Linked DNA regions of Notamacropus eugenii. The protein of the gene in region 1 purifies or fractionates together with the protein of each later gene. This does not show direct contact. Links are inferred from orthologs where the notes say so. Each region holds a gene or a part of one and is shown in the gene's direction. Other genes may lie near its edges.

Region 1 (7,976 bases):
AGAAGATACATTCTCATCTCTTCACTGGAGCAAAACTTATTACAATTTCACACTGCTCATGTTCATTTTACTGTTCTTTCAATCCACCCTGAAGGCTTGAAGCTCAGGACTTGAGCTTCTTGAAGTCAGAAAATATGTTGTTTTGGCTTTTTTATCCCTACTGTTATCACATCTCCTAGCACATACTAGGCACTTAATAAATGCTTGCTGAATGATTGACACATGGTTTTCTGGTTCTACTTATATCGATCTGTCAGGTCATATGCCTTGCCATGTTTCTATGAATTCCTCATATTTTTAATTTCTAATGGCACAATGATATTCCATTATATCATTTGTCACCACTTTCTTAGTCACTAGTCAAATGAATGATGAGATCCCAAAGTATTTCTAGTTATTTGCTTCTATAAAACTTTAAAATTCTGTGATTCTGTGACAAACACTGCTATAAATATTTTTGTATATATGGAACTAATGTGTTCTCAAAGGGTGAGTTAATGCACATCTAGAAAAGGGAGAAGTTATCACAAAGAATCAGCATGGTTTCATCAAGAATGGGTCATACCAGACTACTTCTATTTTCCTTCTTTTTGTGACAGCGTTACTTGATGAGTAGATCAGCTGTAGATGAAGTTTTATGTTCTTCAGCTGAGGAATAGATGTTACCTCCAAATTTATCCTATATCTATCTTGTTTGATTTATATGTTTCTTCCCCATTAGACTCTGAGTTGCTTAAGGGTAGGTACTATTTTCTTTTTGGTCTTTCTTTGTATTCCTAGTACTTGGAGTTGTCCCTGGAATAAATGCTAGTTGACTGGTGTTACAGTCAGATGGATTAAAAACTGGTTGAATGGCCAAGCTTAAATGAGTTAAAGATTTTATATCAAAACTAATGGAGGGCCTAAGGAATCTGTACTTGGACCCAGAGATTGTTTGACATTTTTTGTCAATGATTTGGACAAATACACAGATGGCAGGCATACCAAAATTCCAGATGACAAAAAGCTTGGAGAAAAAGCTAACAAGTTGAATGACTAAGTCAGGATCCAAAAGATCTGGACTGACCAGAATATTAGGCTGAGTCTAATAAGATGGGATTTAAAAGCCCTAAGTAGATAGGCTTACACTTCTCTTGAAAATGTTAGCTTCATGAATTCAAGACAATGAACATGTGGCTAGTCAATGATTTGTAGGAAAAAAAATCTGGGGGATTTAGTGGACCACAAGCTACAAATGAGTCAACAGTCTGAAATTTGAATATTTCGATGACTTTTGTGATTTCACTAATATGGGCATTCTCCTATGGAGCACAAGGCAACCCGTTCAAATTCTAAGAACTGATTGAACATTTAATATACTATTTTCTGTCTTCAATTATTTTGATTAATTATGATCCAATCAAATTCAAAGCAAAAGGAATACCAAACACTTATTAGCTGTCTTCAGTGAGTAGAACACCATGCTAGGCACCAGAAGTACACAGTTTAGATAAGAGTAGTACCAACCCTACATCTCTCAGTCTTATAAATTGCTTTGCTTTCTATCATTTCAAAGCTTGTTTCTTTCTCTTCATTAGTACATGAAATAACATTTGAATGCTTTCTGAAGAGGCTTACACAGTAATCTCCCCCAAAAATGTAAGAATGAAGTCAGTAGTTTCCTTGTCATCAAGAAAATTAGATAGAACATAGGATTAGTTCTTGCATTTAAGGCAAGATACATCCATTACATACATCCATCTTAGATACATCCATTTTTACTATATTTAATAAATCAGCAATATTTGTTAGGTGCCCACTGTGTGCTAAACATTCTACTGGACACTGTATTTATTGCTTCAGAATTAATTCAACACTTGCTAAAGCCTGCCAGGCTCTTGAAATAAATGCATAAAAGTGTTTCTCACAGTAATCGCGTCAAACTTTAAGGTGATTTCTGATGGAATAAAGGAAAGTGTGCCTAGTGGACTGGGAATATTTGGTATGGAGGGGGGGAAAGCTTATTGAAGACATGATAACCAATTTCTAATATTTGAAGGGTTGCCACATGGTGGAATGCTTAGATTTGTTCTCTTTGTACCCTGGGAGCAGAGGTAGGAAAAATGAGTGGAAGGTATAAAGAGGCAAAGATGTCCTTGATGTAAGAAAAGCTTTCCCAAAATTAGAGCAATGCTAAAGTGAAATGTGCTGCTTGCAGAGGTCATAGAATAATAGGTTTAGAGATGGTCTTTCAAAGTCATCTAGTCCAACTTTCTCACTTTACAGCTGAGGAAACTGAGGTTCAGGGAGACATGACTGCCCAAGGACACATAGATAGTAAGCAACAGGTATTGGCTTCTCCAGTTCCAGAGGGTTTAAAATGGATGGGGGAATCAGCACTTGTTAGATCCTGTAGACAGCGATCTTGTCCAGATATGGACTGGATGGTAGTTTCTGGGGTCCTTTGTAATTGTGGTTCTGTAATTTGCCAGAAAGTCCACAGAATAAGAGCGGTACTAGGACATGCCAAACATGTTGTCAAAACAAATGTTGAAAAAAATCACAGCTAATTGAAGAGAAGTGGTGAAAAGAAGGATACTGGTAACATAAAGAATGCAAGCTGGACTTTCTCGACCTTTTTAAAAATAATACTGTCAAACCTCACCAAAATCTCTTTTCGGTTTATTCAGAGGTTTATCTTCTGCCAATGAGTCAGTCAATAAGCATTCACAGAGTTCCCAGGAGGTACAGAACACTAAACTTGGCTGAACAGTTTTTTAAATATAGAATGTTAGTTTCTTCTATACGGTGGACAGAGCCTTTACCCCCTTTTCTTCCCTTATGGGGTGATAGATAGGCTTTCTTATTCTAAGGGTTCCAGGCAACCTCACAATGGACTTACATTTCCTAAGCAGCAGTTAAAATAAAGACCTCTCAGAAAACAGGATGGTAACATGGAACACAGGCTGCTCTGCCAGTACAGTGAGCCCCAGGAATGTTCTTTTCGTGTGACCCTCGCCTCCCAGGGAAAGCATGAATAAAGAAAGCCACAGTGCAAGATTTGTGCTTCAAATGCTCTCACAGCTCAACCTTGTCAGCTCCATTTGCCCAATTTAACTGAAATGAGGAAAACAAACTACAGTCTTGACTGAAAGAGGCTTGTAGAAAGAGACCCATAATAAACTTCTTTATTTAACTCTGAACTACATTCCTTAAATACAGGTAACTTTCAGCATCCAAAGGGAAAAAGAAAACAGGATCCTACTTTTTTTCCTCTCTGTATCCCTAGGAGCGTCAAGATGCATTTATTTTTGTAGTAGTCCTTTAGTTAATGCTTTCAAGGGTTTAAAGTTTTACGATTTAAAATTCAAGGGATTAAAATCATTCTAAAACTAGGATAATTGTAGCTTCTAAGCTGTTACTTCATGCCTATCGTCCCCACTGTTCAACACTGTTCTAACCTCACTAGATAGTTAATGGCAAAATGTTTGAGTTCTGTCTTATTAATCTCTAACATCACATTGAGCTTCTTATCATTTACCTAGTACTGGTACATGACAGGACCTCTGGTTTCCTGGATCAGGGTCCTTGGCTCCTATGTTAATTCCATGACTCCCTCTCACCCCCCAACCCATCTCACAGCCAAGGAGCAGAAGAACCTGCAATATTCTACGATTGCTCATAAGCCGGTATCATTTCTCCATATCGGTGGCACTTTTAAAATGAGAAGCTGTAATGTTTTGTACTACTCGCAATACAAACTTTACGTTCTTGCAAACATCCCTATTTCATCATTTGTGGTATAATTGCTTCCCATTTAAAATAATTCATTAGTTAAATCTGGTCTTAAGGGTTAGCACTTCATTAATCTTTTAATGGAGCTATATTTATACCTCCGAAATAGTTTCTGGATATTACTACAAAATGAGAAAATCAGTCAATTCAATTTGCTTTTGAAAGGCTTGTTTCAAAACATGGCTTTTTTGGAAGGGAAGGTTAACTTTATATGGTTTCCTTCTTACATAAAACTTTCTGATCATTTAAAAGATTTACTTCATGGAAGGAGAACGGCCCAAACACAGGCTTGAAACGTGGACACTTTGAAGATTCTCCCCTTCCGTATACCTAGAGGGGATGGGTGGATACCCCCTAACTCAGGCTCTTCAGACGCACAAATCGACAGAAATGTCCTCCTAGTAAGAATGGAGCCACACCCCTTCATCCTGGAGCGAAGCCCTCTTCAGGATAGAAGAGTGAGAAGCAGTACCCAGGCAGGAGGGGGCCCTTTTAAGGGGGGGCACATAGACATCGTCTGCTACAGCTCAGAGTAGTTGCTTGTCTCTAAGTTGGGTAGAAAATGAGCGCATCCAGACCGGAGGAGAGAGTTTATCTAACGGTTTCTGAAGCTGAGCGTTGGAGACGAGCCTCTCCAAGCAACCACGGCCCAGTGATTCATCTCCAGTGATTCACGGTCCCTTCCCCCCTCCTCCCCCTCCGCATTCCTTCCATCCTGCTCTACCGCCTCCCCTCCCTCGGACTCCAGACCGTCCGATTCCGGACAAAACCCGCAGGGTCCCTAGACACCGAGGACGGCCCAGCAGGATAAATGAATTCGCAGAAATGGGCCCATCCCTCTTCTTCCGCTTGGCACAAAGGGGAAGTAACAATGCCTGAACAACTTCATTTTCTCGAGTGCACGCCCCCTTCTCCCTCCTCCCAAATCTCAGGCTCTTTCTTTCTCGCTGCCTCCTTCCCTTATGGCCGAGAAATCACTCTCCCCCCGCCTTTCCTCCCCCTTGGCCAGGGTCTCGCCACTCTGGTCCTTCCTGGCAGAGTCCCTCTGGCTCCTCGGGCCTCCCTTTCGCCCTTTTGGCTGGAAACCAAGGTGCCCCTCCCACCCCCTCCTACTACGCCTCTTTGGAAGAGTCTCCTAGACCTCTCTCCTCCTTTTCCAATGTCGCGTTCTGAGTGGGTCCCCCAACTTCCTCTAAGCTTTCTCCTACTTTGTCAATGTGCCCAAAGGTGAGAATCACCCCCCTCCTGCGGGGGATAATCAGCAGGATTCCGAGCCCAGCCCCAAAAGTAACGGGATGGGGCTTTCCGCCCAGTTTGGGGGAGACGGGGGAGGGCTAAGGGCGGCACCTCCGCCCACCCTGACCCCACCCCTGAACACCCTCTCCCCGTACCCTCCCTACTCTGTCCTTTCTCCCTGGGTCCCCATTGGCTGGCGAGTAGCCGGGGATTGGCCAACGGCGGGGGCCCCCTCCGCCGATATAAGAGTCGCCCACGAAGCGGGGTCCCGCTCTCTGCCTCTCCAGTCTCTCGGCTCTTGTCGCCTTAGCTGCAGCCAGCGCCGCCGCCACCGCCACCGCCCCTCTCTCTTCGCGGGTCGCGCTCCACGCAGCAGCCCTCCAGCCATGTCCACCCGGTCCGTATCCTCCTCCTCATACCGCAGGATGTTCGGCGGCAGCAGCGCCGGCGGCCGGCCCAGCTCCAGCCGCAGCTACGTGACCTCGACCACCCGCTACAGCCTGGGCAGCGCCATCCGGCCGAGCAGCACCCGCAGCGTGTACTCGTCCTCCCCAGGTGGCGTGTACGCTACACGCTCGTCGGCCGTGCGCCTGAGGAGCAGCGCCCCGATCCCGGGAGTGAGGCTGCTGCAGGACTCGGTGGACTTCTCTCTGGCCGATGCCATCAACACCGAGTTCAGGAACACCCGCACCAACGAGAAGGTGGAGCTGCAGGAGCTCAACGACCGCTTCGCCAACTACATCGACAAGGTGCGATTTCTGGAGCAGCAGAACAAGATCTTGCTGGCCGAGCTCGAGCAGCTCAAAGGGCAGGGCAAGTCGCGCCTGGGGGACCTGTACGAGGAGGAGATGCGGGAGCTGCGCCGGCAGGTGGACCAGCTTACCAACGACAAAGCCCGGGTGGAGGTGGAGAGGGACAACCTGGCCGAGGACATCATGCGGCTCCGCGAGAAGTAAGAGCGTGCTAGCTGGCCGGGGTCCATTGTCCCTTTCACCTAGGTGGGGAGGAGGAGGGATGCAGACTGGCGGCTCCATCCCCGGTCTGTTCTGGGGCTGCCACGCCCTTGGGCCCTGGGGTGGGGGTGGGGGGTGGGGAGGAGAGGGAGCCCGGGCTGGGGAAGGAAGAGAAGTAGGGGACTGTGGTCTGGCATCTGTGTGGAGGTCGCCCCGCCCTTCATCTCCTGCAGCTCTCCACGGCTCCCTCTCTATTCTAACCATGCACTGGCCTTAAAAAGTTGCTCGAATGTCTCCTATCTCTTAACTCTCCCCTTGTTGGAGGCGGGAAAGAGTTTCACTAACTTTTCCCCAAGTTTCCTTGCCTCTTTTCCGAAGAGCCTCGGGAAAAAAAAAAGAAAATTATGGCCAGAGGGAGGGAGGCGAGACAAAGGGCAATGACGCCACGGCCTTGGTCACCCTCACTGAGCTGCTCACTTCTCCGAGTCTCACTTCAGAGGGTCCCCAAGGTGCTGCAGCCCCCACTCCCTCAAAGGAGCCCAGGAGAAAGAGCCCAAGTTAGCGGTCTACCCTTGAAGAATTGCTTCTTTCCCCCGGGGATGGGGTGGGGTGGGGTGGTTGGGTGTGGCCTGTCCAGCCCAGTTGGCGGTTTCCCGCTTCCTCCTTGGTTGATGTGTCACTCTTTCAGGTTGCAAGAGGAGATGATGCAGAGAGAGGAAGCCGAGAGCACCTTGCAGTCTTTCAGACAGGTTTGTAGCTTTCCTTCCCCGCCACCTTTGTCCATCGGACACGCAGTTCTAAAAGTTGGTCCTTAACCCCAACTGGGCTTCGAACAGCTTCCAGTCTGTTGGCGCAGCCCTCTAGCGGCGGCCAGGTGCCAGATCCAAGCTCCCCAGGAACTGGGGGATTGGCCTGGGTGTCACCAGAGAATACAAAGGCCGGTAATATAATCCTCCTTAGCTTTTAACTTTGTTTCAAGTTTTCAAAGAACGGGACAGTCTTCATTTTTCCCTTGCGTTCTGAGACGCAGATTTGAGCAACCTCAATTTGAGTGGGATTGCTATTTGCTGCAGTCAAAGAAGTTTGACATTTTTGTATTGTTTCCAAGCCAAAAGAAGTGCAACACACAGTGGTTCAAAAAGTAAAATAAATGTTATTTTAGGAAGGACTTGCTGTGAATAAATAGAATCAAGACAGAAACTAGATGGGGGAGGGGAGGTAGAGAAAAGGGGGAGTCCTATTGTAGAGCAAACTAGATGGGGCATAAAACAAAAGGGCTCCCACACACAACTATTTTTTTATCTTAATAAGGGTGAAAAGGAGCCATCTGTCCAGCTGGCTATAGAGTATTAGTGGTTTCTATGGGATTCACTATGGAATGTAGATAGAGACTTTCTGGGAAGTGGGGTCGCCTAGAGAGAAAGAATAGGAGTCTTTGTGTTCACAGGAAAGCTTGCAACAGGCTGCATTCTTACAGAATATGTAATCACTTTTAATTGGAGACGAGTATTTTATAAGAGAAAGTTATACTTAAACCTGAGCAGCACATTAGATATGACATTAGAACTTTTCAAAGGACTTTAGTCAGAGTTGGTCCTGATAGGACCCCTCTTCTATCTTTTTGTTTGTAATTTCCTTTTCCAGAAAAGTTTTTCTTTAAAAAGGTGTTCTCATGGGTGAGGGGTAACAGAGTAGAAAGCTAAACTTGGGTTTCGAGTGGCATTTTCAAAACAGATATGTTATGCTCCAGAACTTTGAGAAATCTGAGGCTGTATGAAGAGAATGGAAAATGAAGGGGCAGCTAGGTGGCAACAGTGCTTAGAGAACCAGCCCTGGAGTCAGGACGACCTGAGTTCCAATTCAGCCTCACATTTATTAGTTGTGTGACCTTGGGCAAGTCATTTAACCCCATTGCTTCAGAAAAAAAAAGGAAAATGAAGTATAGAATGGTTACCTTGTTTAAACTTTGAGTAAATATATGCACTTTTGAGAGCATACTTTAAGCTCATTATT
Region 2 (8,296 bases), on another chromosome or scaffold:
ATGAGCTGATGAAATTGTCAGGGGAAAGGCACTGCCAGGTAAATGGGAGAACCATAGGAATACCAAGTCATGGAAACCAAGGGAGAAAAACACATCAAGAAGAGAGGAAAAAGGAAGTTAAAAACAAAAGGAGATGGAGGTCAAGAGTGCTTTTTGTAGACATGGGGAACTATGGGTGTGGAATATTATATATAATTTCAGTCTTTTTAGATATTGGCTAATTTTACTGAACTCCCCCCTTTTTATTCTTTATTAAAATGGCTCTTTGAGAGGGGAATACAGCCAAGAGAGGGACCATGCCTATTAGTTACCTATAATCACCCACCTCTCTATTGAGACATTAGGAAATGTAGGTGATGCCAAACTATAGAAACAATTTTTTTTAAGAAGGAGACTATGTTAATTACTGTAGAGAGTTCAGAGAAGATGGGGACAGGGTCAAGTTTGATGGAGAGGGACACTATTCGATTTAGTACCAAGGAAGTCATTAATTACCTTGAACAGTAAACTTTCTTCCATCAGTGAAGACAGAGGTGCCTATCAAGTATTGAAGAGGGAGTATGGGATCAGGAAACTGAGGAAATCAATTAGGCTACAGCTTCTAGAAGTGTGGTAGAAAAGGGAAGGAGCGACATATAGCACAATAGCCTGAGGAAGTGGTAGGGTCCAGGGTAAGGTTCAGTGATTGGAGATTTGTCTTTGTTTATGTGTTCTTGTTTTGTATTTGATTTTAGAATAAGGAAGAACTAAGAATTCTTGTAGAATGAGGGGAAGGAGCCATGGTGAAAGATACTAAACAGAGTAGAGCCTCTATTAGATCTCAGGCCATTTTGGGGAAGGAAGAAAATTTAGAATTCAAAATCTTATGGAAATAAATGTTGAAAACTAAAAATAAATAAATTTATAAAAAAGAAAGAAAGATACTGAAGCAAGAGAAGGATGACTGATGGAGCACAGACCTGCAGCAGACAGGAGATGGAATCTAAGGCAGGGGAAGGGATTTAGTTTTTTTCTTTCAAGAAGGAAAGCCACCTTATCCTCTAGGATGGGGAAAGCAGAAGAGGATAGCATTGAAAGATTCAGAGGAGGGAAAGATGGGAATTGGAGTAGTCCATGTAGGATGGCCTCAATTTTCTCATTAAAGTGGCTAGCAAAGATACTGCTCAGAGTGAGAACAGAGTAAAACTGGAGTCTGAGATGAGAAGTTTGGAATGACTGCTGTGGAGAGAATGACGAGGATTTTATAAACAATGAATAAAAGCTTTGCCACGCAGGAGTGAGAGCCTAACTGAGAGAAGAGACTCAAATTCCTAATGGACCTGTCAGCATGATTTAGTGACTTCCTCCAGCAGTACTTAGCTGGAACCACGTGGGACTAGAGGTTAGCAGTATCTAGAAACTGCAGAATAGGAAGAAGACAAATTCAAGGAAAGAGGACAAGGAATTATTGAAGTGGCTGGCCATAAGATCAAGGCTGGGGAGGAGAGGGAGTTGAGGCCAGAGCAGGATTGATGGGGAGAACAGGGAGAATTATTAGAGTGAAGAATAGATGTGGGAGAAGTAAAGGCTAGAGGGAGGTGGGAGGACAGGACAGGTAAATGACATCCCTTCAGTGACAAGGGGGACAAGTGAGAAAGTGTGGCTGGTTCTGGACAAGTCCTCATCAGTCCTGGTGGGACAACTCAACTTGCAGGTGCATGTGGGCAGTTAGAGCGGAGGTAAGGGCTAGGGCTTTGTTTGAGATCATGTCCCTCTTTTCCTATTAAGAACCCATTATACTTCATTCACATAGACAGTGAACTGAATATAAATCTGGGTAAAATCCTATCTTCCCCTCACCAAAATGGCTAGAGAATTTTATCATACAGAGACTCAGAAGAAATATACTCTAACCTGTCCCTGAAGCATAAATTCCCCTCTACAGTAGCCTGATGAGTGGTCATCCAGTATATTACTTGAACACCTCCAGTGAGGGGAACCTCATTCATTTAGTTTTCTTCCTTCTTAATTCTGTAGCTTAGTCCCTGAAAAAATGGCTTATCTTGGAACCATACGGTCCTTTACTCCTGAAGACAGCAAAATGCAATGTTTGGCCAGAGCCCCCCAGAGCCCTTTGAGGGCTCATAGGATCCAAGAATGTTCTAGAACACTTACCCAATTAGGTCATCCTTTCTTTTTTTGACTTGTTATACCTCCAGTTAGAGTTTACTCTGGGAAACCTCTAAAAATAGGTTAGGTATAGCTTGTGTCTAATTTCCCCAAATGTGGCTGGGGGTCCCCAAGGATGAACATTCAAGGCAATAAATGAATATGAGCTAGGAAAATCTTTATTTCACTCCACAAAAAAAAAAAAAAAGAAAACAACCAAAGGACTCACAGGAATCTATGGACACTCCCACAAAACACTCATCACAGAGCACTTTTATTTCTTGTAGGATACCCTTATTGATCGATATTGATTATATTTTTTATTTTAAATAACTTTTATTTGTGCCTTCTAAAAACACCAGTTTCTATCTCCTCTATTTATTCTTGGTTCAATCTGACTGCCTTCCTCATCTTTGTTTTCTTTGCCATTTCTGTATTTTCTATCAGCACCTCAGGGACTGTGATGTTAGGACTCCAGTATGGTGGGTCTACTAACCGCAATGGAGGAAACAGTTTATGGTGGTTTTTAGCAAATTGTTTCCACTTTTCTTCTGTTTGCACTTGTCTTTCTATTCTCAAATGATATCTTGGCAAGAGTTCTTTAAACTGAACTTACCCTCTAGTACTTTGGATTGACAAGAGTGGCAGAGGATAGGTAGGCATGAGTGAGCTGGGATTTGCCTTGCTAGAGGGGACTCCTGAACTGAGATCACAGATATATTTGAATATTCATTTACCAGTATGTCACTCTTTCCCTTCCCCAGTCTTTCCTTATAATAAAGCTGAACATGAGCAAACCCCAACTAACAAAGGACTACGGAGTGAAGGAATGTATGCTTCCTTTTCTTCTATGAGACTGAGACCGATTTCAGTTTCTCTGAGTTTTGTAGCATTTTAGTTACTTTCACTGGTATCAAGTCAGTCAGTGAGTATATTTCCTAGTTCAGCATCAGTTTATATGAGTCCATACTCAAACACTTGAATGGACTTGAGATCTCATTGACTTGGATATTCTCCCAATGCAGATCATTAACTACCCACGGCTGCCCATGCCCTTGACTCTGGTCTAGGCTCATTCACCATAGTGGGGCTGCCCATGGTTCTTGGATTCTTCCTGGCTTTCTCCTGACATTGTGAGAATACCAATGGAACACCAGTGCCATTCACTTTTATTCCTCACATAACTCTTTTCTCTCACATATCCATTCCCTTGATGATATCCTTCAGTACTGTTCTTTGTTATATATTGAAGCTTGCTCACATTCATTAAGCGTCTTTCCACCGTCCTCTTCAAAATACTAATTTTCAGACTCATGTGGGGCACAGTCTGGTATTCTCAGCTGAGGGAAGCTGAGGCTGGTGGATTGTTTGAGCCTGGGAGTTTTGAGCTGCAGTAGCACGAAGGTCACTTGGATGTCTACATGAAATTTGGCACCAGTATAGAGTGAGCCCCCAGGAGAGAGTGGCCACTAAGCTGGTAAGCTGCCAATCTGCCTAAGGAGGGCTGAACCAGAAATAGAGTCAAAGCTTCCTTGTCCATAAGAAGTGGGACTGGGACTGTGAATGAGTGACAGCTGCCCTTTCAGTCTGGGTGAGATGGCATGTCTCAAAACAAGCAAACTTATTTTCAATTATAAGGAGTCATGTTTTTATGTCTCTCAGCCAAATATCATCACACGTAATTAAAACCAGGTCCACTGACTCCAAGTACAATGTTCTTTTCACAACACCATGTTCTATCTTGGTGTGACCTGGGCAAGCCATTTAACATCCCTGGGCCTCAGTTCTCTCTGTGAAATTAGGACATTACCCTGGATGATGCCAAGGTGCCTTTTGGGTATAGATCCTATGAACTCTGCCCAGCTTTTGCACTAGAAGGTGGGGAAGATCCACTGTCCTCAGCCATCTCAGATTTACCATAACTGAGGTGATGAAAGAAATTTATTGGAGTAATGAATTCCATGCATGTCCTACCTACTGTATAAAGAAATCCAAAGAATCCAGGTTGGAAAGGACCTCAGAGCGCATCTCCTCCAGTCTGCACCTAAACAACAATGCTCTCTCCATGGCATCGCCTCTGAGAGGGTCACTTGAGTTCAGGGCTTGGTGCCAAGCTGTCTTGGTGCCATCCGTCTCATCAGCGTTTGCCATTTCAGCTTTATCTGGATGGTCAGGCTGAGGGAGCTTTTAATTGGTCAAGGAGTTAGGGGTGGGGTAGGAGAGGAAGGTGGTACCCTCTCCTCCCCTTCAGGGATCATCCGAAGGGGAAGTGTTGAGCCCAAGGGTGGAGCCTGAGCTGTGAGGGGTGGGGTGTGGAGAGGTGGAGGGCGGGGCTTGTGTGAGGGAGTGGGAATGGGGCAGGCAGCGGGAGCACCCCTTCACGTTCTCCTGCACCTGCAGTCCAGTCCTCCTTCCCTATCCAACCAAGTGATGAGGAGGTGTAGGGGTAGAGGAAAGAATATTGAAAGAAAAGACAGGGAACCGGGTTCTAATTCTGATTCTGCCACTAACTTGCTGAGTGACCTTGGGCAAGTCTTTCCCACGTCTGTGCCACGGTCTTCTGCAAAAGGAGGCGGCTTTCTCCCCTCCCCCCCCCCAAAGGACCCCTTAGAGATGATCCCTACAGCTCTATCAGTCTGTGGATCAGTCTGGACCCAACTCCCCGCTAAGGCGCCCCCAGCCCCAGCGGCCCCTCCTCCACAGTCGCCACCCAGCCGGGGCAGGCAGCTCCGGGGCAGGGCCGGCTGACCAGTCCAGGGCCGCTTCTCTCCGCCCCCTGGGCCCAAGGCCAAAGCTGAGCCAAGTGGGCGCGCCGCGGGGGGAGGGAGCACGGAGGGATCCGGTGTCTTGGGCTGCAAGCTGGTGTTGCAGCTGGCGGCGAGGCGAGGCACTGGCCGGGATATTAATAACCCGGGGCTGCAGCTTTCCATGAGACCCTCCCAGCCATGGCCAGCGCGGAGGAGCCCCGGGAGGGCGGCCCCTGCGGGGAAGGAGCCGCAGCCGCTGGGCTGGAGAGGTAGGACTGCCCGGTGGGGAGGGCTGGGGCTCGGGAAGCGGCCTTCCTCCACCTGCTGGTTTCCTCCAAACTTCCCGTTCCTTCGCCCCTTCTCCACATTCCCCCCTCCCACGCCACCCCGAGGGCCTCCCCCGATCCGTTAGGTGTCAGGCCCCGCCCAGAACGTGGGGATGTGCAGAGCCGGGCTGCGGGGCTCCCCAGCGCCTGGCCCCGGGGTGGGGACCGGGAAATCCCGAAAACTCAACTAAGGGCAGCGGCGCCCAGCCCAGCCCAGCCCGGGCGTCTGGGTGCGGGTGCGTATTCGCAGAACTGATTGGTGTTATTCTGGGGGACCTTCCCCCCAAAAGGGAGTCAGTCCTTTCTGATGGGCATGAATCATCAAACACAGTGAAGGCAGGAATGCCAAATACCCGGTCTCCTATTGTGTTCTAGGGTCTTTCCTTTCCCGCCCCCCACCCCCACCCCCATCTTGCCTAAGACAAAGTAGGGAGGCCAGAGCCCCGAGTTACCGAGGGTTTTCGCTCTGTTCTCCTGCACCTGGCCTCTTGGTTCCTGGCCAGCGTTAAAGCAGTGTGTGTCGGGGGGTGGGGGGATGGCACAGCTTGTTGCTTCTTCACTCAGCTTGTTGCTTTTGGGGCCCAACGATGTTTGGGAAAACACAGAGGAGAGAGCCTAGGCTCTACCTGTGGAAAGCGAGCTTCAGAGGGCGGGTTTTAACTGCTCCCTTCTCCGCCCTCTTGTCAGCTAACCAGAGCCCCAGGAGGGCATGGCCCTGAGGTGAGGCTTGAGTGATTGAGTGGCCTCAGTCTCCCAGGGGCTGAAAGATGAAATTGTCCACACACACACACACACACACACACACACACACACACACACACACACACACACACACTCCGAAGGTACAAAATCCCTTAAGGATTAGGCAGGGAAGAGGGAGGCTCCCTGAGACCCAAATGAATCCCGAGGTCATAGGCCTTATAGTCCCAGCTAAATTCTTCCCCATCTACCAGAAGCCTCCCATAATCCTGCCCCTCCTCCAATGCTGGACTTGCTTCTTTAGGGAGAGGAGCTGCTGTGTAAAAAGCTTTTCTGGACCCTCAGTTTATACAAGAAGCCAAGTCCCTAAAGGATTCATCCATCTTTCAGATACCCCTGCCAAATGACAGGACACTGAATTAAAGAGTTGGAAGCTAACAGAGTCATCTCTCAATTATCTACACTAATGACAAGGGGTAGGATCCTTGGGCACATGGATATTCCAAACCGCAGATAATCCACAAGCCTTTCATGAGCTAAATGGAATGAATCAGTAAGATGTGGTAGACAGCAAATTCATGAGCCAGGAAGCCCAGCCTCTGACACATTTTGTCTGTGTGATCCTGGGATCCTGTGATCCCTTAACTTCTCAGTGCTCTAGCCTAGACAACTGGCTAAGGCTCTAAAATGCAGCGAAGGTGCTGTTCCTTCTACCAGTGACATCAGAGGCCTCTGCCTTACCTTTCCAATTTTTTGTTGTTGAGTCATTTCAATCATGTCCAACTCTCATGACCCCATCTGATGTTTTCTTAGCAAAGATATGGAAGTGGTTTGTCATTTCCTTCTCCAGCTCCTTTTACAGATAAGGAAACTGAGGTAAACAGAGTAATGTGACTTTCCTAGGGTCACACAGCTAGTAAGTGTCTGAGGCTAGATTGGAACTCAGGAAGAAGAGTCTTCCTGACTCCAGGTCCAGCAGTCTATCCACTGTGCCAGCATTTCCCCCTTCAATTCAGCATTTATCAAGGGCCCACTCTGCAAAGTAGTTTATCTTGAGGTGGGAAATGAAACATTGAAATCAGTTTTAATGATCTCATAGCTGAGCAGGGAAGCTGGGGGGTGGGAGGACTGAGTGAGGAGAACCAGCTTGACATAAAGATGTAACTCAGTCAGCCCACAACATGGATCATTGAAATTCATATCGTTGGAAGGCACAAATGTTTGAAAGAGGAATGAGTTTTTTTCTTCTAAGATCTGCTCCTTCCTCAACTGCTTCAAGAGTAAACAAGGCAATTCCAAAATATATTCTGTGTCCAGACAACTTTTTCTAAAGTTGCAGTGGCCCATTCAGTAACTGGGGCAAGGATAAGAGGGAACCAGCAGACCTGGGTTCCAGTTCAGACTCTATTTACCAGTTGTATGACTAATCAAATCCTTTCTCTTTCCTCGACTTCTTCATCTACAAAATGAAGGGTTGGTTCCTCCCAATTCTAAGGTTCTAGAAAGCTGCTGGATTCTCCTGCACAGATATAGCTGAACAACCTGTTGGGGTCTCCCCTTCAAGGCTTCCTCAGGGGCTGACAAAGGGCAGAGAAAGGGGTGCATGGGAGTCACACAGAAGGATTTAGGCCACAATGGTAAGAAATAAGAAGGGCCTCTACCAGGAATTTGGAGTGTAAATGGTGAGGACTTACATCCTAGTCACAAATCTTGAATTTCTCTTTCCAAGACAGAGGTGTTATGGCACAGTGGGCAGAGCAGTGACTTTGGAGGTATAAGATCTGAACCTAAATCCCAGTTATTCCACTTACTGTGTAACCTCAAGCAAATCATTCTCCCTCTCTGAGCCTCAGTTTCCTAATTTGGAAAACTAGAGCATGGATTAAGTTCCATTGAGTTCATAACATTCTATGAAATACTTTGCTTGTGGGCATGACCATTTAGATTCATTTTTTTAGATTAATTAGATTCATGACCATTTAGTTCATTTAGATCTTAAAAGAGTCTTTAGAAAGAAAATATATCCTGTATCTTCTTGTCATCTCTTTGTGGCCAGTGTACCCAGATCACACTGGCTGTCAGTTTCCCTGGTGATTGCTGTACTTTCAGGAAATCACTTTAAGAAGTGAAGGGGAAGGGGGAGGGGGGGGGAGAGACAGAGAGAGAGAGAGAGACAGAGAGAGAGAGAGAGAGAGAGAGAGAGAGAGGGAAGGAGGAAGGGAAGGAGGGAGGGAGAGAGGGAAAGAGGGAGAGAGACAGAGAGAGTATGTATGTATGTATACGTAAAAGCCGCTAGAGGACTACTAGCAGTCAGAGTGAATTGACCAAAATCTCAGAAACCACTCTCATATACAAAGTCCCATCCTCACTATGGCT

Evidence for each region.
Region 2: the proteins of VIM (region 1) and SYNC purify together in Homo sapiens (affinity purification with mass spectrometry; 3 studies listed by BioGRID and IntAct, counting the BioPlex papers as one, with this or other methods). This does not show direct contact. The link is inferred for Notamacropus eugenii from reciprocal best matches to the Homo sapiens genes VIM and SYNC.

What each region holds. Positions count from the first base shown.
Region 1 is NC_092874.1:57,865,822-57,873,797, forward strand, and holds the start of VIM (vimentin), read left to right. Parts: upstream 1-4,709; 5' UTR 4,710-5,069; coding exon 5,070-5,962; intron 5,963-6,651; coding exon 6,652-6,712; intron 6,713-7,976. UniProt on the Homo sapiens protein: Vimentins are class-III intermediate filaments found in various non-epithelial cells, especially mesenchymal cells. Vimentin is attached to the nucleus, endoplasmic reticulum, and mitochondria, either laterally or terminally.
Region 2 is NC_092876.1:77,188,366-77,196,661, forward strand, and holds the start of SYNC (syncoilin), read left to right. Parts: upstream 1-4,949; 5' UTR 4,950-5,093; coding exon 5,094-5,164; intron 5,165-8,296.